Linked DNA regions of Oryctolagus cuniculus. The protein of the gene in region 3 interacts with the protein of the main gene of each other region in a pairwise test. Links are inferred from orthologs where the notes say so. Each region holds a gene or a part of one and is shown on either strand. Other genes may lie near its edges.

Region 1 (6,445 bases), on a different chromosome or scaffold from region 3:
GGAGCCTGGAATTTGTAGCTCCACTTGGGTCTCCCATGTGGGTGCAGGGGCCCAAGCACTTGGGCCATCTTTTAGTGCTTTCCCAGGTGCATTAGCAGGGAGCTGGATCAGAAGTAGAACAGCCAAGACTTGAAACTCCAGCCAGCACCATGAGATGCAGCATTGCAGGCAGCTTAACTGGCTATATTATGATGCTGGCCCTTCTTTGAGTACTCTAATGTAGTCTCTCTTCTCTTCATTTCTTTTCCTAACCTAAGCTCTCTCCAACGTCTTTTCTGTTCTGTTCGTAAGTCTTAATCCTTGATAGTTCCAGGCACCTTTGTTCCCTCTACAGTCTGGCTTCATTTCAACTCTTCTCTCTCTTTTTTAAAAACAACATATTTAAGCTTTTTTAAAGACTTTTTAAAAGTTTATTTATTTGAGGCCAGCGCCATGCTCACTAGGCTAATCCTCCACCTACGGCGCCGGCACACTGGGTTCTAGTCCCGGTCGGGGCGCTGGATTCTGTCCCGGTTGCTCCTCTTCCTGCCCAGCTCTCTGCTGTGGCCCGGGAGTGCAGTGGAGGATGGCCCAGGTGCTTGGGCCCTGCACCCGCATGGGAGACCAGGAGAAGCACGAGTGCAGTGGAGGATGGCCCAGGTGCTTGGGCCCTGCACCCGCATGGGAGACCAGGAGAAGCACATGGCTCCTGGCTTCAGATCAGCGCGGTGCGCCAGCCGCAGTGGCCATTGTGGGGTGAACCGATGGAAAAGGAAGACCTTTCTCTGTCTCACTGTCCACTCTGCCCGTAAAAAATTAAAAAAAATTTTTTTTTTAAAAAGTTTATTTATTTGAAAGGCAGAGAGAGAGAAAAAGATAGACGGGGCCAGTGTTGTAGGGCAGCAGTAAGCACTGGTTTGAGTCCCAGGTTCCTGTTAATGTGCCTGGGAAAGTAGCAGAAGATGCCCCATGTCTTTGGGTCCCTGCCACCCATGTGGCAGACTTGGATGAAGTTCCAGGCTCTTGGCTTTGGCCTAGCCTAGCCTCAGCCCTAGCTGTTATATCCATTTGGGGAGTAAACCAGCAGATGAAGAGTTCTCTCTCTCCCTTTCTCCCTCCCCCCCCCCCCCGGTAACTCTGCCTTTCAAATAAATATCAGAAGCAGATCCAGGACTCAAACCCCCAGGCACTCATCCCATGTAGCATCCTAACTCTGTGCCAAATGCCTGTTCCCCTCTCCATCTCTGCCTGGAATCTTAGCTTTCTGTTAAGTGTAGCAGTTTTCCTCCAGCTAAGTCACAGGATCACCCATACTCCTGTCCCTTCACTTGGATCCCTATTACCAAGGTCCTCAGCTTCTCTGTCTTGTGTTTACCACAGCTGAATTCTTGTTTCTGTCTAGCCCAGGCGAGGTTCCCCTGGCCAGGATGTCAGGTCTGGTGTTGGGGCAGCGGGATGAACCTGCAGGGCACCGACTCAGCCAAGAGGAGATCCTGGGAAGCACTCGGCTCGTGAGCCAAGGACTGGAGGCCCTGCACAGTGAACACCAGGCTGTGTTGCAAAGCCTATCCCACACCATCGAGTGTCTGCAGCAGGGAGGCCATGAGGAGGGGCTGGTGCATGAGAAGGCCCGGCAGCTGCGCCGATCCATGGAAAACATAGAGTTGGGGCTGAGCGAGGCCCAGGTGAGCTGGTGCTGAATGAGTCAGAGCGGGTGGCGGAGCAGCTGTCTGGTTGGATGTTTGGGTCACTTGGGATCACCTTGTCTTAGATGCATGCATACATTAATTCAGTAAATATGTTTGAAGCCCTTGGTATGGGCCAGAACTCCTTTGAGCAGAGGAGATACGTCACAAAATCTTTGCCACGTTGGTGTTTGCATTCTAGGTGTTGGGGAGTAGGGGTGGGGACAGGACAGGCAATGCACAACAAATGAGTAAATGATGCAGTGTGCCGAGCAATACTTGCTAAAGATAGAAATGAGTCAGGGAGGGGGACTAGGGAGTGTGGGGAGAGGGTACAGTTTTAGATAATGCTGATCCAACAGGGCCTCACTGTAACGGTGATATCGGAGCAAAGATTTAAAAAGGTGATGGAATGAATCATCCAATCAATAAGAGATCAGCCTCCTAAACAGAACAGCCAGTGCAGAGGCCCTGAACTTGAACTTGAGCCTGCCTGCTGAGTTCATTGAACAGCAAAGAGCAGTGTGGCTGTAGTGCACTCAGTGAAGGAAAGCAAAGAAGAAAAGTCTAATGGACTATGGAGTTGGGGAGAAGCAGAGAGATCATGTGCAATTGACTGCTTTTATTTTATGTTAGTGATATGGAAGCTACTGGGATGTTTTGTTTCTTTAGGTTTTTTTTTTTTTTTTTTGAGAGAGGAAGGAGACAGAAAGAAAGATCCCCCACCTGCTGACACACAGCCCCAATGCTTGCAACAGACAGGACTGGTTCAGGATTGAAGTCAGGAGCCACCAGGTCTCTCATGTGGGTGGCAGGAACCCAACGACATGAGCTGTCACCACTGCCTCCAAGTGTCTGCACCAGCAGGAAGCTGGAGTCAGGAGCCAGAGCTGGGGACCAAATCCAGGCACTTCCATGTGGGACACGGGTGTCCAAACCAGCATCTTAAACATCAGGCCAAGCATCTACCTCTATTGGAATGTTTTGATTTTTTTTTTAAAGATTTATTTATTGGGGCTGGCATTGTGGTGTTACGGGTCAAGCTACCACCTGCAAGGCTGGGTGTCCCATATGAGTGCTGGTTTGAGATTGTGCTGATTCAAGACCTGGCTGCTCCACTTCCTGTCTGGGTAAGCAGCAGATGATGACCCAAGTACTTGGGCCCCTGAGCCAATGAGGGAGATGTGGAAGAAGATCCTGGCTCCTGACTTCTGCCTGTCACAGCCCCAGCCGTTGTACCCATTTGGAGAGTGAATCATCAGATAGAAGATCTCTTTTCCTCTCTCTGTAACTCTGCCTTTCAAATAAAAATTATTTATTTCTTTGAAAGGCAAAGTGACAGGGTGGGGGTGGGGTGGAGGAGATATCTTCCATCTACTGGTTCTGTCACCAAATGGCTGCATCAGCTGGCGCTGGGCCAGGCTGAAGCCAGGGACCAGGAACTTCATGTGGTAGGCAGGAGCCCAAGCACTTGGGCTATACTCCACTGCTTTCCCAGGCACATTAGCAGGGAGCTGGATCAGAAGTGGAGCAGCTGGGACTCATACCAGCACTCTGACATGGAATACCACATTGCAGCCACTGCACCACACAACGCAGCCCCCGTCAGAATGTTTTGAAAAGAATGATGTGATCTAATTTGACATCATCTGGCTGCTAGACTGAGAATAGGCTCCGGGGGAGCAAGGGCAGAAACAGGGAGGCCAGTGAGGAGGCTGCTGTGGTCATCCAGGTGGGAATTAGTGGTGGCTTGGCCTTGCGAAATGGCAATGGCAGTGGTGAGATTCAGGGTGTATTTTGAAGATAGCATCATTGCTAGCCAAAATTCCTGCCTCTGGGCTCCTCTGTGTTCCTGCCAGTCTTGCTGCTTCCCAGTAGGCTCCCCTCCTGCCTATAGGCTCCCTTCTGGAGTCTGGAGCTCACAGGATGTGCCCACCTAGGTGATGCTGGCTCTCGCCAACCACTTGAGCACAGTGGAGTCAGAGAAACAGAAGCTGCGGGCTCAGGTACGGCGGCTGTGCCAGGAGAACCAGTGGCTGCGGGACGAGCTGGCGGGCACCCAGCAGCGACTGCAGCGCAGTGAGCAGGCCGTGGCTCAGCTGGAGGAGGAAAAGAAGCACCTGGAGTTCCTGGGGCAGCTGCGGCAGTATGACGAGGACGGGCACGCTGCGGTGAGCACTCGCAGGTGGGGCTGGCCGGGGGATGGGCAGCTGGGAGACACCACCAGTGGGGCCGTTGTCCCCCCATCCTCAGGGCCTAGCAGCTCCCCAACCTACCCCACCTGGCAGGATTGCTTTTTCAGGTGATGGCTGCGGGGAAAACTCTCTGTTCATTCAATGAACGTTTGGTGAAATGCTTACTGTGTCAGGCACTATGCGTTCCCCTAGTGAACAGGCAGACACACTTGCTGCTGTCACAGTCATGGACTCGTGAGGGGAAACAGACAAGCTCCTGGACAATTCCAGTGCAGAACACTAAGTGCTACAGGTAGGGAAACCCAGTTGCACAAGACCCTCTTAACATTTGCTGTGGAAACGTGTGAAATTTCACTCTCACTCAACGGGCATTCATGTATCGCTGTGCCTCAGGCAGTGCAAGATGTGTGTAGGGAGCTATAAAGACCCGTAGAAGAGACACTCTGCCTTCTTGAGTTTATAATGTGTCTGTAGGGGACAGGGCTCACGCTTGAGAACGCAGGTGTGACAACACATGGCAGCAGATGTTCCGTGCTGGGTGAGTATGGCTCAGTAAGTGCAAGAGGAATTCATAGGAGGTAGGCCCCTGAGGCCGGAATGATTAAAGGATTCCCAGAGGGGGCCGGGGACAGAGATGGGTATGCTTTAGGTTGAATTTCTCATTTGACAAGGGTTTGGGATGATTCTTGAAGGATGACAAGGAAGAGAGACAGGGGAGTCAAGCTAAGGCTCCAGGGCTGCACTACTGGTCTACCCCTGAGAGAGTCAGGAGACGCTTTGCATGGGACACACTGGTACAGGGGGCAGAGGGCAGGGGGCAGGGGAAAGGGCTGGAGGTCGCTGCTTAAAGCTGCCGTTCCTGATGGGAAAAGCAGATTCTCCCAGTGTGGAAGTAGGTTGGACAGTGAGGGGTGCTCACTATGTCCGAAGCAGGCAGTGGCAGATGATGGGTGTGAGGCTGAGCGAGACACCTTGGGCATGTGTCAGTAAGGTCAGAGACACTGTCCGGCCTCAGGAGAGACAGAACAGACATATAATCAGAGTAAACACCAGGCATCAGCACAGGGCTATAATTACAAGAGTGGAGCAGGAGAGAGGGAGGCTGGGGAGTGGAGGTAGTAAGGAAGGGAACTTTCTGGATGTGAAGGAAGGGGAAGTCGTGGGAATTTGTGCCAAGCATCTCTGGCTTTTGCCAACAAAAGAGGCCTGAGTGTGGCTGGGCCGGATGCTGGCCTTCCCAGGGCAGAGGCCCCTCTCAGTGACTTTGTGGCTTAGAGGGGCCCTCACACCGGCGCTATCTTGGCCCTCACATGCTACTGCTTCCCTTCCAGGAGGAAAAACAAGGGGATGCCACCAAGGATTCTCTGGATGACCTCTTCCCCAACGAAGAGGAGGAGGACCCTAGCAACGGCTGTGAGTCTGCCTCAGAGCTGGAGGGGAACGAGGGGCAGCAAGAGGCTGCTCTGGGCCCAGCCCTGTGCTCAGGATGTCACCATCCAGAAACAGGTTCTCCCCTCTCTCTGGAGAGGGGGCAGGGCTGGGCTAGTCCTTTAATTTTCTCAGCCTCCTCCTTATCATCAATGTTTATTAAGCGATATGTGCCGAGCACTAGGAATAGCAAGATGAAAATAACACAGGTCTCACTGGTGATGTGTTCACGGTCTATGGGGGAATGAACCTGAGATGGGAAGAGCATGAGTTCTTCAGGGGAAGGAACCAGCTCTTTCTTATCTTTGTGTTCCTGGGATAGCCCCTGGCTCAGGCTTATTATTTTTTTTAAGATTTTTTTATTTATTTGAAAGGCTATGAGAGAGAGAGGTAGGGAGGGAGGGAGAGAGAGAGGGGAATTTTCCATCTGCTAGTTCACTCCCCAAATGACTGCAACTGTCAAGGCTAGGCCAGGTCAAAGCCAAGAGCCTGGACATCTATCTGGATCTCCCAAGTATTTGGGCTATATTCTGCCACTTTCTCAGGAGCTGGATCAGAAGTGGAGCAGCTGGGACTCAAATTGGCACTCATGTGGGATGCCAGGGTCATAAGTGGTGGCTTAACCCTTTATGTCACAACACTGGCCCCGCTCAGTCTTATTGAGTGAATGCATCACTGGGAACAAATAGAACTGTAGTGGGCACAGGTTCCAGGGAGCAGGTAACAGAATAGCAGTGGAGGCTCTGGTGTCAGTAGAGAGAGTCTGGTAGGGGCAGGTGCAGGTATGGAACAAGACATAGAGGGGAGGTCTGGGGTGGGAGAGGAAGAGTCCTCCAGGAAATCTGCTGTTCGTTTTCCGGGCTGGCTCAGTGTCGCGTGGCCAAGGCGCTGCAGCCGCCCAGCAGGGTGGATATGAGATCCCAGCAAGGTTGCGGACGCTACACAACCTGGTGATTCAGTACGCAGCCCAGGGTCGCTATGAGGTGGCTGTGCCGCTCTGCAAGCAGGCGCTGGAGGACCTGGAGCGCACATCTGGCCGTGGCCACCCTGATGTCGCCACCATGCTCAACATCCTCGCCTTGGTGTATCGGTGAGCACCGCCCCCCCGCCCCCCAGACTCCTCTCCCTCTTTGGCACCCATGCCTCCTCTCCACTGGG
Region 2 (5,513 bases), on a different chromosome or scaffold from region 3:
CAGCAAGTTGTGAATCACGGATTGGTCCCGTTCCTTGTTGGTGTTCTCTCTAAGGTATTAGAGATTTAATCATATGATTGCATTTACAGGCCAACATTTTTGTGGTTGGGTACTATTCATTGAGTTCATTGATAAATAATAACCAGTAATCCCTTTCCTTTAAGGTTGGATAGAGCCAGTTGGTTGTTTCAATCATTATTTCTGTAAAATGAAATTTTGGAATCTCATTTGTGTGACTGTTCTGAACTAAAACCAATTCCTTTTGTTTAATAGGCAGACTTTAAGACACAAAAAGAAGCAGTATGGGCTGTAACCAACTATACAAGTGGCGGAACAGTTGAACAGATTGTGTACCTTGTTCACTGTGGTATAATAGAACCGTTGATGAACCTCTTGACCGCAAAGGATACCAAAATTATTCTGGTTATTCTGGATGCCATTTCAAATATCTTCCAGGTAAGCCCTAACAGGGTGGCATTTGTTTGAATTTGGGCTTCATGGTGATTGATTTGCTGTGTCGACTAGGGAGGGCAGCTAGATGACTCATTAGTAGTCAGAACCAGCAAGGCCATTTATGTAAGCCAGGCTCCCTTCAGTGGTGCACTCCCCAATAAGCACAACCCCTGGGGCCCTGCCAGGAGCCAGACGTGCAATCCAGGTCTGCCAAGTGGGTGGCAGACAAGTACCCGATTACCTGAGCCATCACTGCTGCCTATCAGCATTAACTGGAAGCTGGAATCAGGAGGTGGAGCTAGGAACTGAATCCAGGCATTCTGAGGCAGGATGCAGGTATCCTAGCTACCAGTCTAAATGCCCTTTTTTTTTTTTTTTTTTTTAAGATTTTATTTATTTGAGAGACAAGAGTAACAAAGGGAGAGACAGAGAGGTCTTCTGTCTGCTGGTTCACTTCCCAGTTGGCAACAACGGCTGGAGCTGGGTTGATTGGGAGCCAGGAGCTTCTTCCTGGTCTCCCATGCGGGTGCAGAGGCCCAAGGACTTGGGACGTCTTCCACTGCTTTCCCAGACCATAGCAGAGAGCTGGATCGGAAGAGGAGCAGCCCAGACACAAACTGGCGCACACACCTGCCATCCCCTCCATCCGTAGCCACTAGTGTAGGCTCAGCCTATTGCGCCACAGCACTGACTCCTCTAAATGCCCATTCTACCACACTCTTCCTAGGGATTATAAGAGGCATGTAACAGGTGATTAATGAATGACACGACTTTAATTGAAGTCAAGTCTTGAAGTGAAAGCTATTCATACTACTTATTTTGTCAGGTATATTTAACCCCCCAATTTCATGCTAAATTTTGGTGAAATTAGCTATATTTTTCTCGTTTGACCTGAGGATGATTTAACCCTGCCGGCACATGGCATTTTGCCGTAGTGATTGGTACCAACTTCTAGATCTGGTTCTGGAAATTATTACATGTTGAAGCTGGATTCAGAATAAGGAAGGCTGGTGTCTATCGCCATCTGTAAATTATGAGTGACTGGTTCTCCCACCTTCTCTCATGTACCTGCTACATTGAGTTTCAAAAAAAATATAAAGTGGACATAAGACTATCATTAGGATTGTTAAAGAAACTGTTAATGTGCATTCCTGTCTGATATATGAAAGCTTTGATATGTGTATTTTCATTAAAATAGAACCATCAGAGAATAAACCAGTAAACTGGACCTTTCTTTTCTTTTAGGCTGCTGAGAAATTAGGTGAAACTGAGAAACTTAGTATAATGATTGAAGAATGTGGAGGCTTGGATAAAATTGAAGCTCTTCAAAACCATGAGAATGAATCCGTGTATAGGGCTTCATTAAACTTGATTGAGAAGTACTTCTCTATAGAGGTGAGCTACTGTTAATAACAACTTGGAAAATACACATGTATGGGCAAACTATGAGATGTTCTTTTTTTCTCTTTGTACTTTAAGTGAGTTCCATACATTTAAAAAAATTTTTTTATAAAGATTTATTTATTTGAAAGAGTTACATAGAGAGAGGAGAGGCAGAGAGAGAGAGAGAGAGAGAGGTCTTGTATCTGCTGGTTCACTCTGCAGATGGCCACAACGGCCAGAGCTGAGCTGCTCCTAAGCCAAGAGCCAGAAGCTTCCTCCAGGTCTCCCATGTGGGTGCAGGGGCCGAAGGACTTGGGCCATCTTCCACTGCTTTCCCAGGCCATAGCAGAGAGCTGGATCGAAGTGGAGCAGCCGGGACTCGAACCAGTGCCCATATGGGCTGCTGGCACTGCAGGAGGCGACTTTACCTGCTACACCACAACACTGACCCCAATTTTAATGTTTTTGAGAGAGAACTATAAGCTGGTTCATTCCCTAAATGCCCATAATGCCTGAGTCTAGGCCAGGCTGAAGCTAGAAGCCAGGAGCTTAAACAAAGTCTCCATGTGGGTGACAGAGACTCGAGATACCAAGCCATTACTGCCTTCCCCCAGGGTGCATACTAACAGGAAGCTAAAATCAGGAGTTAGGGCCAGGATTTGAACTCCTAGTAGCTTTTTTTTTTTTTTTTTTTTTTTTGACAGGCAGAGTTAGGTCTTCCTTCCGTTGGTTCACCCCCCACATGGCCGCTATGGCCAGTGCACTGCCCCTATCTGAAGCCAGGAGCCAGGTGCTTCCTCCTGGTCTCCCATGCGGGTGCAGGGCCCAAGCACTTGGGCCATCCTCCACTGCCCTCCCGGGCCACAGCAGAGAGCTAGACTGGAAGAGGAGCAACCGGGACAGAATCCGGCGCCCCAACTGGGACTAGAACCCGGGGTGCCGGTGCCACAGGCTGAGGATTAGCCTATTGAGCCACGGCGCCGGCTGAACTCCTAGTATCTTAACTGCTAGGCCAAACACCCACCCCCTGTACCCTTGTTCAGTATTGCAAAATGTCAAAAAAATATATTTAGGACTTGCCCATATAATATTTGGGTTGATGATATTTAACCTGAAATTTTAAAAGTCACTAGTTTACTTTCAAATGAACAATCTTGGGAATCGGAATATCTTTAAAGTTTATGGTTGTCATTGTAGGGATTCTTGGAGAAGTGGGTGAACTCTGATCGTAGTTGGCTCTCTTTCTACTGACAAGTGGCAGGTGGAACAGAAAAATCTCAATTTTGCTTGTAGTAGCATTCTTTAACCCACTCAGAACTGCTTCTCCCAGGCATTCCTGACTTGTCCGGGTTTCAGCGGCCCTTCCCTCCTCCTGTGTCAGACAGAAAGAATATGGTCTCAGGGTTGAAGGTGGGTGTGCAGCTGTAAACTTTATGAGCAGGTCGAGACTTGAGGCATGCTACTGCTTAGAAATGTGCCATATTTATGGGGTCACGTTGCTTTTTCATGTTTCAGGAAGAGGAAGATCAGAATGTTGCGCCAGAGACCACCTCTGAAGGCTACACCTTCCAAGTGCAGGATGGGGCGCCGGGCGCCTTTCACTTCTGATCGCACTGCTGAGGCACCAGTCATTTTGTTGTTTGTCTTACTGTTTCTCTACTAAGACCTTTTTTTAAATGTGGTTTGTTATTGTAGCACTTTTACAACAAAACTATACTTGAACAGTTCCAAACTGTACATACTGTATGAAGCTTGTCCTCTGAATGGGTTTCTTACTTCTGTGGAATTTCGTATCTTACAGTGTCCTGTAAATAAAGATAAAATTCCACCCCTTTCTTCACCTGGTGTGTGTGTTGTTTTCTAATTCGGAGCTCTAATGTTGCAGATGAAGGGTCCGTGGCAACCAGTCAGTGGGGCCAGTCCTGACTGTAGGAGGTGGGGTGTGGATAACTTTTCTTCCGGATTCCGAGTCTCTTGGTTTGGTGCTAAGCTGCTGCTTGTCCTTTTGGTACTTAAACACCTGATATCTGTTTGCTAAAGCTGGAATCAGAAGTTTCACAGAAAGAGGAGTGAAGTTTCCAGAAGTCCTCAGCCAGTGTTTTTAGGTTTCACTGACCAGGGAGATGGGATAAAAATCTTAAATTTAGTCACGCTCCTCCTGGAGCTACAAGTGGGAATCGTTCCTCCCAAGTGAGACCTGGTGCTACATTGGCATCACCTGGGCACGGTTACCCAGGAGTTCTGGTTCATTTGTTGTAAGACTTTTTTTTTTTTTTGACAGGCGGAGTAGACAGAGAAAGGTCTTCCTTTTGCCATTGGTTCACCCTGCAATGGCCGCTGCGGCCGGCGCATCGCGCTGATCTGAAGCCAGGAGCCAGGTGCTTCTCCTGGTCTCCCATGCGGGTGCAGGACCCAAGCACTTGGGACATCCTCCACTGCACTCCCGGGCCACAGCAGAGAGCTGGCCTGGAAGAGGGGCAACCGGGAGGATTAGCCTAGTGAGCCGCGGCGCCGGCCTTGTTGTAAGACATTGTTTCTAAGTCACTGGTAATATAATTCAACAGGCTTCCACTTCTCCCCAGTCATCAAATATGTTTTTGTCTTTTGTAGATAACAGGGTTTTCCAGTTTCCTCCATGCAACTGTTCAATTGCTTACGCATGGCCAACACATGAAGTAACTCCCATAGCCGAGTTCCTGACGTGCCTGTACTTAGGGCATCTTGGGCGTCCTGGGAGGAAGACCCCTGAAGTGGAGAGAGGAGGAGGAAGCGGGCTCTGCACACTGCCCTGCCTTTCCCACTCTGCTCCTTTTCCTTCTCCAGCTTGGATGCTGGATCCAGAAGTCCTTGGCTTGAGAAAGGTACTGTTAAGTAGACCTCGACACCCCAAGTCTGAGGCGCTGGAGTGGCTGCAGGGGGACAGCAGCGGAACAGGCGCGTTGGTAGCAAGTGTGGGGTCTGTGTGTCAGGCGTGGCTCAGTAAGTGCAGCAGTGCACAGACAACTGATGTCCAAAATACGGGTTTTCATATTCTAGATAAAATCCTTAACGTGCTGGTTTCCTTGGGGGAGTCAGACGCCATTAGAGGCATTTGGATGTCATATTTAATTTGCTTGTGGGTGAGGTTTTCCATCTTGGAGAGTGGAGCTTCCCAGCAGTTGGATTTTTAAAAAGTCAGGCTGGCGCCGCGGCTCACTAAGCTAATCCTCCGCCTTGCGGCACCGGCACACCGGGTTCTAGTCCCGGTCAGGGTGCCGGATTCTGTCCCGGTTGCCCCTCTTCCAGGCCAGCCCTCTGCTGTGGCCCGGGAGTGCAGTGGAGGATGGCCCAAGTGCTTGGGCCCTGCACCCGCATGGGAGACCAGGATAAGCACCTGGCTCCTGCCTTCGGATCAGCGTGGTGCGCCAGCCGCGGCGGCCATTGGAGGGTGAACCTTTCTTTCTGTCTCCCTCTTTCTCACTGTCCACTCTGCCTGTCAAAAAAAAAAAAAAAAAAAAAAAAGTCACTGGTATGCAGCCGCCAAGTTAGGAAGCGTCCATGTCTCGTGAGGGACTTAATAGAACAGCTAAATGTGCAGCGTCCTCGCAGCTTTCAGGCTTGGGTTTGTATTCCGTGTCTTTGCCTGCAACTTTGATTTTCGTGTTTAAGGTGGGAAAGTAAAACTTCTAATTTCATGA
Region 3 (6,445 bases):
GGTCTTGCATCTGCTGGTTCACTCTCCAAATGGCTGCAACACCAGAGCTGTGCTGATCCGAAGCCAGGAGCTTCTTCCGGGTCTCCCACGTGGGTGCAGGGGCCCAAGGACCTGGGCCATCTTCTACTGCCTTCCCAGGCCATAGCAGAGAGCTGGGTCGAAAGTGGAGCAGCCGGGACTCGAACCCGCGCCCATATGGGATGCCGGCACTGCAGGCGGCAGCTTTACCTGCTACGCCACAGTGTTGGCCCCGATTTTGATTCTTGGTCTTGTTTTTGGAAGGTATAAGTCCTGTGTCCTCCCGTGACCCTGAAACTTGAGCCGGGCTGTGGGGGCCCAGGCGCACCCGTGCCCAGCCTCCCTTCCCGCCCATGTGTGTCCTGTCTCACAGCGCTGGGGAAAACAGGTGTGGCGAAGGCGGGTCGGGTCTGCGCTCCCTCCCTCTCCTCCTCGGGCAGGGGCAGCCGCACTGGCAAGTCTGAGAGTGACTTCCCCTCTGGCCGCATGGGTCAGCCATGTGTGGGTGCTCAGGCAATGGCACGGCCCCCTGAGCTCCGCTGTCCCTCACACACAGGGCTGTCCCCAGGGAGGCGTCCTTAGCGCCTTCAGGGGAGGGCATTGGCTGTGGGGAACTGGGGGAGGCCCCACCTGCCTGAGCTGGACCTGCTGGGACCAGCAGTCAGACCAGCCCGGAGCACCAGCAAGTGGCAGGACAGGAGGAGGGGACACAAGGAGAGGGGACAGGGACAGGAGGCAGGCCCTGTCCCCTCTGCCTCCCCTGCCCCATTCCCAGGACCGCAGCCTCCAGCCGGGGTTGATGGACAGGCAGGACGAGCATCTCGGCACGCGGCCGTGTGGGGCGAGGGGCTTCATCGGACCCCCGGTCGGACCCCCCTGCTGTGGCGCCGTGACCTTGGGCTGGGTCAAGCAGCTTGTGCTTGGGGGTGAACTGAGTGACGGCTGAGCGCCGGGTAGGGCCGACACCGGGACAGGGTCCATGAGCCGGCGATGCTGCCCTGTGTCGGCCTTCGTGGGGGTCGGCACTGCTGGATGAGTGGGAGACACCGTGTGAACTGGGGTTTACCGTTAATTGCTGGCGGGGTGGGGGACGGCAGGGGCCCGCCTGCTAGCTGGGCCTGGGGTCCCGGGGTCCCGGGGTCCCGGGGACCGCCCCCGCTGCCCCTCACGGCCGCGCCCGCTCCCTGCAGATGACGGGAAGCTGTCCCTGGAGGAGTTCCAGCTCTTCTTTGCCGACGGCGTGCTGGACGAGCGGGAGCTGGAGTCGCTGTTTCACACCATCGACTCCGACAGCACCAAGTGAGCGAGGCCGGGGCCCCAGGTGGATCAGCACCGCGCACACCTGTGTGGCTGTGGCTGCGCGGCTAGCGCCCCTGCAGACCCCCGCCACCACTGCCTGCGACACGGAGCCTCCCTAACGCTGCCCCCGTTTTAAACCAAGCTCCGCTTAGGACTTGCTCAGCCCGCCCCACAGCGCCCACACCTGTGCCTCATTAGCCTCTCCCAGCCCATCTCGCCCTGACCTGCATCTCCACACCCACCACGGGCCCCAGCCTGGCTCAAGTTCAAGTGCATCCCCACCCCCGACAGCCTATGCCCCCTCCACCCCACTCTGTGGAGGGGCAGAGTCCTTGCCTGGTCCCCCTCCTCAGGCCCGCTCGGATGGTGGGCACCAGAGTTCCTGGGGGCTGCCTGGGGCAGGTCTGATCATCTGGGGTCCCTTGCTAGACAGGAGGGAACGAGCAGCCGCCACCAAGCCACGTGCAAGGGGCCGAAGGCAGTGCTGGCCTGGGCCGGACTGGGAAGGGGCAGGTGGAGTGGGATCCTCGCCTATGGATGGACACTAAAGAAGAGGCTCTGAGGGTCCCTGTGGCTGTGTGGGGGCTGGCAGGTGCAGGCGCTGCCCCCTGATGGGTTCCTCCTCACTTGCTGGCTTTTATGGGGGGCAGCGGGAGGTGCTGCCTGCAACGGCGAGCCTGGCCAGGGCCACAGCTGGCCTCACCGCACACAAGGGCCAGGCCAAGACCTTGGCGTTGTTGGCTCTGGCGTCCGGCCAAGTGTGAGCCGAGGACATCAGCTGCCTGGGGTGCTGAACTGCGCGGCCGCCTCCTGCAGAACTCGGAGCTCCCAGTCTGCGGCCCGCACAGCCCCGCGTCCAGCCCCGCGCCCTGGCCCCGGGGTTCTGCTTAGCACACTCGGGTGGGCCGGCCCCTGCGCTCTCGGGCACATGGTGGGGAGGTTGCCGGAGCCTGTACCACCACTCTGTCCCCAGTTCCTGGCCCGGTGCACCTCTGATGCCGCTGTGTGCACCTGTGCCGCCAGCCTCCTCTACGCTGTCGGGAGGGGGGCCCAGGGGCTAGGGGTGAGGAGCAGGGCTGAGCTGGGTTCTCCAGGAGCTGTGTGGACGGCCTGGACAGCCAGGGCCCGCCCTAGCCCTGCCTTTGGAGCCCACTGTTCCCCAGGAGGTCGGAAGCCTTTGGAAGGGAAATTGGGGCAGTGGGTACTGGCCACGCCTACTTGGACAGAGCCACCTCGGGGTGCGGGCACTGGGGGTGCACGGGAAGACAAAGGGCGGCAGGAAGCCTTTAGCAAGCTGCACAGGGTCCCCCCCCCCCACCAGCTGTGGAGGGGTGGGGCCACCACACTCACACCCCTCTCCTCTCTCTGCAGCCACGTGGACACCAAGGAGCTGTGTGGTAGGTGCCTGGCTCTGTGCCTACAGGGGTGGGACGGGGTGCAGGCAGTGAGGGGCAGAGGCGGGACTGGGGGGCCGCGGGCGAGGGGCAGAACCCCCCCATGACCCCCGACCTCGGCTTCCCGCCCCCAGATTACTTCGTGGAGCACATGGGGGACTACGAGGACGTCCTGGCCTCGCTGGAGACCTTGAACCACTCGGTGCTGAAGGCCATGGGCTACACCAAGAAGGTCAGCGGGGTCCGAGGCCCGGGGCTGGGATGAGCCGACGGAGCCCAGCAGCCCGGGCGTGGTCCTGCCTGTGAGGGTCCGGTTGGAAGCGCAAGGTTCCCGCCCAGGTGCAGCCTGGCCTGGAGGGCGAGGGGGTCCCCCGACAGGTGCTAGCCCCAACCGCCCGTGGTGACCCCGTGACCTGTGGGCCCACATCTGCTGGGGCAGGAAGGCACGGCAGGCCCTGGAGGCGGCCCCGGGCAGGCGGCAGGCGGCAGGCAGGAGGGCCTGGGCAGCAGGGACCTGTGTCCTGCAGCCCCTGTGGAGGCGCAGGCACGGCTGCCCCCCGCCCAGCACCTCCCGGGGAGCAGAGTGGCAGTCCTGCAGGGAGCTCCTCACCGGCCCTCCGTGCGCTGCAGCCCGAGCCGCTGGCTGGGGACAGAGGAGAAACTGAGGCAGGGCCCACGGGTGCAGCCCCCGGGCAGCGCGGGCCCCTCCGGAAGGGCCAGCCCCTGCTGTGGAGGCCACGGGGCCGCAGTGGAGGAGTCGGCCGCCTCTGGCCCACGCACACCCCGGGCTGTGGGACAGGGGCACAGACCCGAGCTCTGCTGAGCGCGGCGTGGCCTCCCCCGCGTGCGGGATCCACGCTCACAGGCCTCAGCGCGCACGTAAAACCCACTCCAGAAAGGTCCGCGGCGCAGCGCTAGAACGTGGCGTGCGCCCGTGGCTAGGCACCATCCGTGTGCGTCAGGTGAGGGTGTCACGTGAGGCTACATGGCTGGGCGTGGCCTGGAGCGCTGTGCGCGAGGCTGCGCCGTGGGCTCCGGGGCTGCCGTTGCCGGCCGCCCACTGTCGGCGGGCACGTGAGGTCCGGCGGCTGCTGCCCAGCTGCAGCGCGAGGGCCGCGGGTCCCCGTCTCGGCCTCCCCGCACCGTGGTGGGGCCGCGGTTCTGCCTCCGGCCCAGCGTGCCGCTGCTCGGGCCTGGCCCGCGCTCCGGGCCTCGGTAGAGGGTGGGCTCCCAGCCCCATCTGCGTCCCCCGACGTGGGTGCAGGGGCCGGGCCCTTGCCGTCCTCCGCTGCTCTCCCAGGGGCCTTAGCAGGGAGCGGATGGGAAGTGGGGCAGCCGGGACTTCAGAGCGTCGGTACAGACGGTGGGGCTGTAGTGGGGGTGAGGGCGTGGGTGTAGGCAGGGTGCTATAGTGGAGGTGAGGGTGGGTGTAGGCAGGAAGATGTAGTGAGGACGTGGGTGTGCAGTGGGGCTGTAGTGGAGGTGAGGGCGTGGGTGTAGGCAGGGGGCTGTAGTGGAGGTGAGGGTGGGTGGGTAGTGGGGCTGTAGTGGGGGTGAGGGTGGGTGGGCAGTGGGGCTGTAGTGGAGGTGAAGGTGGGTGGGCAGTGGGGCTGTAGTGGAGGTGAGGGTGGGTGTAGGCAGGGGCTGTAGTGAGGACGTGGGTGGGCAGTGGGGCTGTAGTGGGGGTGAGGGTGTGGGTGTAGGCAGGGGCTGTAGTGGAGGCGGGTGTACACACAGCCGCCCTCCACGTGGCCGTGCACGGGTGTTCTGCCCGAGAAGTGCGAAGCCTGCCGTGGCGTGAGGATGAGTTTGTCGTCCGCGTTGCCCGTGCCGTGGTCGTCCTCGGAGCCACGCGCCGTGGAAACCCGGCCATCTCTGCCTGTTTCTCGCGTGAACCCTGCCTACAAGCGCCCTTTGCCCATGCCTGTTCCCCGCTGTCACTTGGCGTCTGCGTGTCTGTTCGTGGAAAGCGGCCGCCCTGCTTACCCCACGGCGTCGTGTTCTGTCGCTGACCTTGGTCTGCCTTGAACTTCTCCCCTCTCTGAGCTGCGTTGCAGCCAGGAGCACAATGCGTCGTGGCAGGGACCCCCCCCTCCGTCCCCCATAATGCCCCACTGCCTCCCGGGTGCACATTAGCAGGAGGCTGGAACCTGGGGGCCAGCTAGCCTAGAACCCAGGCCTGCAGCACGGGGTGCCGCTGTTCCTAGTGGTGCCCTCCGCACGCTGGTTCTTGGGGTTGCACACAGGTTTGGGGCATTAGAAGGCTGAAGGGGGGAATGGTTAAGCAGCACTTTGTTGTGAAGGTTACAGGGGGTGGGGGGAGACAGAGAGCGGTCTTCCATCTGCAGGTTCACCCCAGGTGGCCACACGGCCGGCGCTGGGCTGGGCTGGGCTGGGCTGGGCTGGGCTGAAACCGGGAGCTGGTACTCCATCCGGGTCTCACTCGTGGGTACCACAGACCCAGGCCTGGGGCCGTCACGTGCTGTCCGCTAGGCTGCATCATAGGACACTGGACGGACAGCGGGCATTCACACGGGATGTGGGGGGCGCAGGGCACGGCCAATGCACAGCGGTGCGCTCGCGGGTGTTACTGGGTAACTCCTGCCCCGCAGCCCCCGTGCCTGGTGCTGTCACCGCTGCTCCCTGCCCGCACCTGCCGATTCAGGAGCGTTTCTGCCGTTCAGGCCTGGAGCGCCTAGGAGCAGTCCCGTGCCTCCGGGGCCTCGATCGCCGTGTCCCCTGTGGCCTGCGCGGCCGGGACTTGTCCCGTGGATGCCCAGGTGTTTGTTAAAACATTCACAAGCGAAGTGACAGACGGGGAGTCAGCGCTCCTGCAGGCAGTGGCTCACTGCCCAGTGGCTGCAGCTGGGGCTGCACGAGGCGGGAGCCGGGAGCTCTGCACTCGGAGCGTCTCCTGCTGTGCCAGGCGTGTCGGCAGGGAGCGGAACCGGAAGCGGCGTGGCTGGGACTGGAACCCGTGCGCTTAGGGGATCCGGTGTGCACCGGGCCCAGGACACGGTTCCTGGCGCTGTCCCTTGCTGGGGCCTGCAGCGCTGGCCTCGTGGCCGAGGCACCGACCGGACAGAGGAGGAATCCATCCAGGGTTCACTTGGCTGCCCTGGCCACGCCCGCACCTGAGCACCACTCTGCTGGGAGGTTTCTGGAAGGCTCTCCTCGGTGTGTGGGTTGACCCTCCCCCTTATTTCTTTCCTGAAGCTGTGCTGATCAAGCTGCACTGAGGGCTTCGAAAGGCGGAGGCAGGGAGCGGACAGGGCGCTCCGTCTGCTGGGTCCCTTCCCAGATGGCGCAGTGACCAGGGCCGCGCCAGGCTGAAGCCAGCAGCTGCCTCCAGGTCTCCCACACGGGTGCAGGCGCCCACACACGTGGGTCTGGCGCTGCTTTCCCAGGCCGTAGCAAGGAGCTGCGCTGGGAGTGGAGCAGCTGGGTGCGGCTTTACCTCTGCGCCACAGCGCCGGCCCCACGTAGGGCTTTGTTTCGGGGTGACAGCAACTCGTCTGGTCGTGGCTGGAACCATGTATGAGAAGGGCCTGGGGCCCAGCACGGAGCACCCGGCCACCAGGACTCATGGCTTCTGGCCCCAGCCTTGTTCTGCCAGGAGGGTCTGCGTCCACCAGCCCCGGTCAGGCTCAAGCCGGCGCCTGCCCCTCCCCCACCTCTGCCGTCCTCCGTGGTGCGGCTGCTGCTGGTTAACCCCCAGTCTCGGCGATGGTTGC
Region 4 (6,445 bases), on a different chromosome or scaffold from region 3:
CCTTAGCCAGGTGGCCTGTATTGGTTCTAGTTGCTCTCAGCTAGCTGGGTCACCTGCCCATCTATGCTTAGTTTATTTGATCTGGTCCTTAACTGCTAGACTCTGCCATGACATCATGCTGCATTTGATTGTTTTTGCTTGAAAAGACAGTGCTCCATTTGGCCCTACCCCGTAACAAACCCTCTGGCTCTTCCTGAATTGGAAGGTCCGGTTATTTTCCTTGGCCAGGCTGTTACCTGACCCAGACAAGGCATTTCACTAATCTTGGGCTAGGAAAAAGAGATTGAAAAACATTATAGGGCTCTAGACTCTACCAGCAGTCTTCAAAAAGTTCATGAAAAAATGTGTCCTATGAAAAACCTGCATGGATTTCAAACAATTCCTTGTACCAAAATAAACTTATTTTTTAATCCCATTTTCCAAGCGCTTTGGCAGTGCCCTCATTTAATAGGTTTGGTGCATTTGAAAATTACCTTTTCTCTGATAACTTTCCTTCCTTTTCTCCTGGCAGGAAAAACAGCTTCTCAAAACATTTTCATGTCAAATGATGGCAGTGAACTTAAAAGTCAAGACAGTGGTCTATAGCACCCACCTCTAATAGTAGCCTTTGGTGTGTTGCTTGAGTCTGAGCAAATGTATCCCAGGACACTTTCAACTGCAGCTCCAGCTTCTTCAAATGTCGAAAATCTCGCTCTTTCTCTCTTTGCTTACGAGACAGTTCGTCATGGTAGTTATGCTTGTCGATGAGGCTATTCCGCAAATTGAGATCCAAGATCCCTCTGTTCCAGGTAAGTGCAGAAAAGGAAAGTGAATTGCCATTGCATGGCCCGCATGGCCTTCGAAACTGAACGTGATAGCATTCTCAGCATGTACACACGGAAATATCCTCATGTTGGAACCATACGTTGTCAATCATGCCCACCACCACTAGGTTTTGGAGTTGGTACCATTTAGGGCAACAACCTTACAAACAGAAAGGCAACCAGAATAGCAAAATGGCAGAGACAGATGCCCCCAATTCCTCTGAAATTGTACCTCACGTAGGAAGAAAACTCGCCCAGAGGATTGCACCATAGAATTGCTCCCATTAGGAATAAGTGAAGATAACCTCAGAAATACCATTCACTTGTTGGTAAACATCCCTGAATTACACAACACTCTCCAGGGATAGACTATCCCAGAGGCACATTTTAGAAACTTACAACATAAAACAGATTTTTCCCCCTTAACATTTGATCACAGAATTGAAGAAAATGATGAGTCGAGAAGGGGGAAATACTTCAAATGTTTTCTTTGATAATTTTTCATTAGGGTAAAAATCAATTTAAAATCCTATAAAATGTTCATTGAGTCGACAGAATACTGAGATTATTTTCTGAATCCTCAAACACAAACTGAAGTCTCAGATGTCAGGTGCACATAACGACCACTGACCTCTCACTTAGTGACGTGGCTTCATTCTCTCTGGCCAGTTCCAGCATCTTGGCCAACTGGTTGTATTCTCGTTCCCGGATTTCAAGTAAGGCTCGTTTGCCTTCTACTTCCTTCATTACATCCTCCTTCTCTTCCACTACAGCGCTAATTTTGGTTTCAACTTTCTTTATGGAGTCATTTAGCTCTTTGACTTCGCATTCCAAGACAAGTTTTTTCTTTTCTGTTTCTCTGTAGAAGACAGACAGGCACACATAAACACACATGTGCATGGACACACACACACACACACACACACACACACACACACAATTTACCTTATTCTGAGCCCATGCTGCCTGAAACTGTTAACTTCCCAACCAGGCGGCAGAAGAGTTGGTTATAAATTCAGTGACTAGAAGTGGGTGGAGGCCACAGAGGAATGGGGCATGGAGGGTATCATCCTTAGACAGCTGCAGAGGAAAAGCAGCCCATCTTCCTCTCCTGTCAACCAACTGCTCTCACCTCTGGGAATCTACTCCCTTCCTCACTAGCTTCTCACAAGGGACCTAAATTTCTCATCTTTGGTGCCAGTGAGCTTGGATTTTAGAACTATTAGTGCCTGCTGCATTTTTCCCTCTTCTCTCTAAATTGTTTCTTCAACAATTAGTTCCTCTAAACTTTGAGAATCTCCCCCATGACCTCTGTCTCAGGCGTCAGATACAGAAATACGTGGCAAAGAAAAGAGTTACTATCACTGGGGCTTTAAGCAGCTGCTTGATTGACTTGCTTCCAAGACCATGAACTTCAAAACTGTTCACCTAATTTGTCCCCAGCTCTGTGAAAGTCAATTGGATTTCTCCATAAAGATATGATTTATGAGTTAGGAATAGAATTTGAATCCATAATTAAAACAGAAATATGTATGAATGATAATAATTTGCTGCACTTCTTTCTTTTAAAGAACTTGACATATATGACCTAGACAGGGCCCAGAGCAGACATTCCTAAAGTTACCATAGTAATGTGATATGTCTAGTGAGTAGGCAAGGAGGGGCTGAAAGTGAAAATATTGATTCATACACTTTTTTCCGTGTTGTTTTTTCTATCTCTTTCACAATTTGTACAGGAATAGTTTGATGGTGCGCCACTTCATCCTAGTAAAGAAATAGAGAGCCATGTTAAATTCAGTCTTGGAACAGAGCAAGGAAGACAAGATAATTAAACAGGAAAGAGAGAAGAACTAAAATATGTAGAATTATTTTTAAAAAGATTTATATTTATTTATTTGAATGGCAGAGTTAGAGAGTTAGAGAGAGAGAGAGAGAGAGGAGAGAGAGAGGAGAGAGAGGAGAGAGACAGAGACAGATTGATCTTCTAGCTTCTGGTTCAACCCACAAATGACCACAATAGCCAGAGCTGGGCCAGTCTGAAGCCAGGAGCCAGGAGCTTCCTCCAGGTCTCCCATGTGGGTGCAGGGTCATCCTCCACTGCTTTCCCAGGCAGGGAGCTGCATTGGAAGCAGCTCTGTTTGTGATGCTGGTGCTGTAGGCTGTGGTTTAACGTGCTGTGCCATAGTACTGTCCCTACTATGTAGACTTCTTATGGGTATCTGCCCTAATACTGGTAAGAATGATTTCATTCAATACTCAGATGACCTTCTAAGATAGGTATATCTGCTGCCATTTTCAGGTACATGTAACCAGGCATAAAAATACCACATGGGTTCTAGAAGGTCTCGCTGGGGTTGGGCTGGGGACACGCATATGCTGGAGGCTGGGCACCTGGCTGCAGTGTGCTGGAGTGGGACGTGGTTCTGTCCTAGTCCATGTCCAAGGTCTGTGAGGCTGGAACTTGTAAAGTTTGGGGAATCTTCTTTAAGAAAAAGAGCAAGATATTACAGATGGAAAATTAGGTTCAGGGTCCCAGACAAGGCTCCTACAATGGAGAGGCTGAAGCTTCACTGGACATCTGGTATACCTATCTCTGGTCTGTTCCTATAGCTGGGCACAGCTTGGCCAACTGCATTGATACTCTCAAGGAAAGAGGTCAAAGGGTGTCATAACAATCCCCTAAACCAATGAATCTAGCTATGTTTCTTTAAAAAGAACACTATAAATTATTTAAATGTTTTGAGAATTATTATACACTTTCTAAAATAAAATGAATTTGTAATTTATTATCTCCTAAAACATAAGCACAGGCCTATCATCCCTTTTACGGTGAGAAGTATTAGAATAGAATCAAAGAGAAGGCAGCACAAATAGACACAAGAGGTTAGGACAGCTGATTGCTCTTGGTAGAATAATCATGAAGCAGCAGGTTAAGCCTCTCCTTGGGATGCCTGCATCCCAGATGTGAGTGCTGATTCAAATCTCAGCTCTTCTACTTCCAATTCAGCTTCCTGCTAATGCACCCAGGAGGGCAGAGGTTCTTGGATAAAGTACTTGGGACCCTACCACCCGTGTGGAAAACCCAGATGGTGTCTCAGGCTCCTGGCTTTGGCCTGGTCCAGCCCTGGCTGTTGCAGACTGAACTTGCAGATTAAAGAGCTTGCTCTGTCTCTTCCTTCCTCCCGCCCTGTCACTCTGCTTTTCAAATAAATAGATACGCCCCTCCCCTTTTTGATAAAAGCAAGTGTGTCTGTGACAATCACTGCTAATACTGAAAAATGCTTGGTACGGGCTAGAGAGGCCTCTCTTCCAGGGTCGGCGTGTCAGAATTAGAGTGATACTACCTTTAAGTCTTTTGCAAGCTTGCAGAGAGTGATAGGTTCAGCCATAATGCAGATCCTCGCAGTTTGTGTGACAATATCCCTTAGTCAGACCTACATAGCTCGTCTTGATCCCATCACGCTGACTCTCAGGCAGGCACCATGTATAAGCATCTATGAACTGCAAGCAGCATACCTTCAGGACAACCTGATACTCCAGCAATTCCTCCAGCTCCTTCTGCTCCTTCAGTAACTGCTTTTGCTTAGATGCCAAATCTTCCCGTAAATTTTTAATCTCCAACTTCTTCTGCATTATTTCCTTACGTAATTCCTCGGTGCTCTCTTTCAATATTCTCATCTTCTTCTCCATTTCCTTTAAAAGGACAGTGATTGGGTGACTAGTCTTAGCAAGCATTTATCTACCTAAAAACTGGATAGGAAATCATTTCACCATTTTGATTATGTTTGTCTTGGTGTTTGAATGATTCTCACCATGTTATTACCACTTGGGGAGATCCAAGATGGCAGAATAGGGAGGGAGCTTACTGCTCTAGGCTAGGGGAAGTTAGTTTGAAAAAGGGGAGAGTTCAGTCTCAGCGAAGAGTTAGGGAGAAAATGGCAGGGGAAATTCCATGTAAGTCAGAGGGACACTGTGGATGTATGTGGAGGGTGTGGATGCACACAACTCAGGACCCAGCAGCCAAGAGCCTCAGCATCAGTTTTGGAGAGTAAGGTGAAACCAGACTGCAGCAGTTCATGATCTAGCAATTAAGCTGTGGGAAGAGTCTGGCACGAGCCCAGCTTGGAGCCCTGTAGGGGACAGTGTACCTGCCAGCCTAGATGAGAAAAAAAGGAAGCACATTTCTCTCCACCCAATCACCCCTGCACCAGCCTTTGGTAACATGCTGAGGGCGGGAGCTATTTTGGACATATGTAACAGCTGCACCAGCTCTTGTCTGTGCACCCAGCAACCAGCCAAGTGGAGGTGCCCAAGATTGGCTGGAATTGACAGGAAGCTGGGTGCTTGTGTCCATGGGAGGCTTGTGTGCTGGGACTTTGAAAACATTATGGCTAAATGGTGGGGGGAGCAGGGTGTGGCTGGGACTTTGGGCAGTCACTGTGGGCAACTCCACACACTTGGGGATCCCTGATTCCCTGGCGGGGGGATTGCTGCAGGATTCATGCTTACACTGAGGCCCGTACAGATCCTTTGTGTGGTTCTTGTGGTAGCATGGATGAATATTGTACCCACTGGGGCTAGTGCCCAGTGCCCAGGCACTGGTCTTTTTTGAGGAGAGGAGGTGGGCATGAGACTATGCCAACAGAGCAGAAAAATCATCCCTTATGATAAAAAAAAAGGATTTACCAAGCTCAACCTGGTGTCACCTTGGACACTCCCTTTACCCTGGAGCACTAAACAGACATCACTGGCTACATGCAGAACATGCCTCTGGGTATTCATTAAAAATGTGTACATTCCACTAAGCCACAGAGGCATGGTTCAAAGATAAAAGCCATCATAGGGAATAAAGAAACAAAAGAGAAACCAACAAGTTTATCCACAAATGCCTAATAATAAATGCAACAATTTAAGAAACAAGGATAAGGAAGACAACATGACACCCCCAGAAGAATATAATACTTCAATAGCATAATGTGAAGATGAAGACACTGAAGAAATGTCAGAAATATAATTCAAAAAATTGATCCCAGGATTACTTCGAAGTAATCAGAAGCAAATACATAAACTGATGAAATCCATACATGACATGAAAGAAAATTTCTCCCATGAAATTGAGATCTTAAAGAGAAATCAGGGACTGGTGCTGCAGTATAGTGGGTAAAGTCACTGCCTGCAGTGCTGGCGTCTCATATGGGCACTGGTTCAGGTCCCAGATGCTCCACTTCCAATCCAGCTATTTGCAATGGTCCGGGAAATCAGTGGAAGATGGCCTAAGTCCTTGGGCTCCTGAACCCGTGTGGGAGACCTGGAAGAAGCTCCTGGCTCCTGGCTTCAGATTGGCACAGCTCCGACCATTGCGGCCAATTGGGGAGTAAACCAGTGGATGGAAGACCTCTCTCTCTCTCTCTCTCTCTCTCTCTCTCTCTCTCTCCCTTTCCTCTCTCTCTGTGTAACTCAAACTTTCAAATAAATAAATAAATCTTTAAACCAAAAAAAAGAGAAGTCAAAAAGAAATATTGGAAATGAACAATTCAATAGAACAAATAGAAAATATGGTGGAAAGCCTTAACAATGGAATTGGTGAAGCAGAAGAAAGAATATCAAGTTAGAAGACAATTCTCTGGAAATTTTCAGTCAGA

What was found.
Region 1: the proteins of NECAB2 (region 3) and KLC4 interact in binary tests that used the Homo sapiens proteins (3 or more experiments, as listed by UniProt). The two-hybrid records come from large-scale screens. The link is inferred for Oryctolagus cuniculus from reciprocal best matches to the Homo sapiens genes NECAB2 and KLC4.
Region 2: the proteins of NECAB2 (region 3) and KPNA2 interact in binary tests that used the Homo sapiens proteins (3 or more experiments, as listed by UniProt). The two-hybrid records come from large-scale screens. The link is inferred for Oryctolagus cuniculus from reciprocal best matches to the Homo sapiens genes NECAB2 and KPNA2.
Region 4: the proteins of NECAB2 (region 3) and CCDC146 interact in binary tests that used the Homo sapiens proteins (3 or more experiments, as listed by UniProt). The two-hybrid records come from large-scale screens. The link is inferred for Oryctolagus cuniculus from reciprocal best matches to the Homo sapiens genes NECAB2 and CCDC146.

The regions. Positions count from the first base shown.
Region 1 is NC_091436.1:126,957,026-126,963,470, reverse strand, and holds part of KLC4 (kinesin light chain 4), read left to right. Parts: intron 1-1,381; coding exon 1,382-1,664; intron 1,665-3,604; coding exon 3,605-3,835; intron 3,836-5,190; coding exon 5,191-5,272; intron 5,273-6,157; coding exon 6,158-6,377; intron 6,378-6,445.
Region 2 is NC_091448.1:13,983,327-13,988,839, forward strand, and holds the end of KPNA2 (importin subunit alpha-1), read left to right. Parts: coding exon 1-54; intron 55-273; coding exon 274-456; intron 457-1,698; coding exon 1,699-1,848; intron 1,849-3,351; coding exon 3,352-3,444; 3' UTR 3,445-3,676; downstream 3,677-5,513.
Region 3 is NC_091449.1:65,757,073-65,763,517, forward strand, and holds part of NECAB2 (N-terminal EF-hand calcium-binding protein 2), read left to right. Parts: intron 1-1,208; coding exon 1,209-1,317; intron 1,318-2,688; coding exon 2,689-2,714; intron 2,715-2,845; coding exon 2,846-2,943; intron 2,944-6,445. UniProt on the Homo sapiens protein: May act as a signaling scaffold protein that senses intracellular calcium.
Region 4 is NC_091434.1:141,715,046-141,721,490, reverse strand, and holds part of CCDC146 (coiled-coil domain-containing protein 146), read right to left. Parts: intron 4,497-6,445; coding exon 4,320-4,496; intron 2,568-4,319; coding exon 2,494-2,567; intron 1,663-2,493; coding exon 1,435-1,662; intron 780-1,434; coding exon 593-779; intron 1-592. UniProt on the Homo sapiens protein: Essential for sperm flagellum biogenesis and male fertility.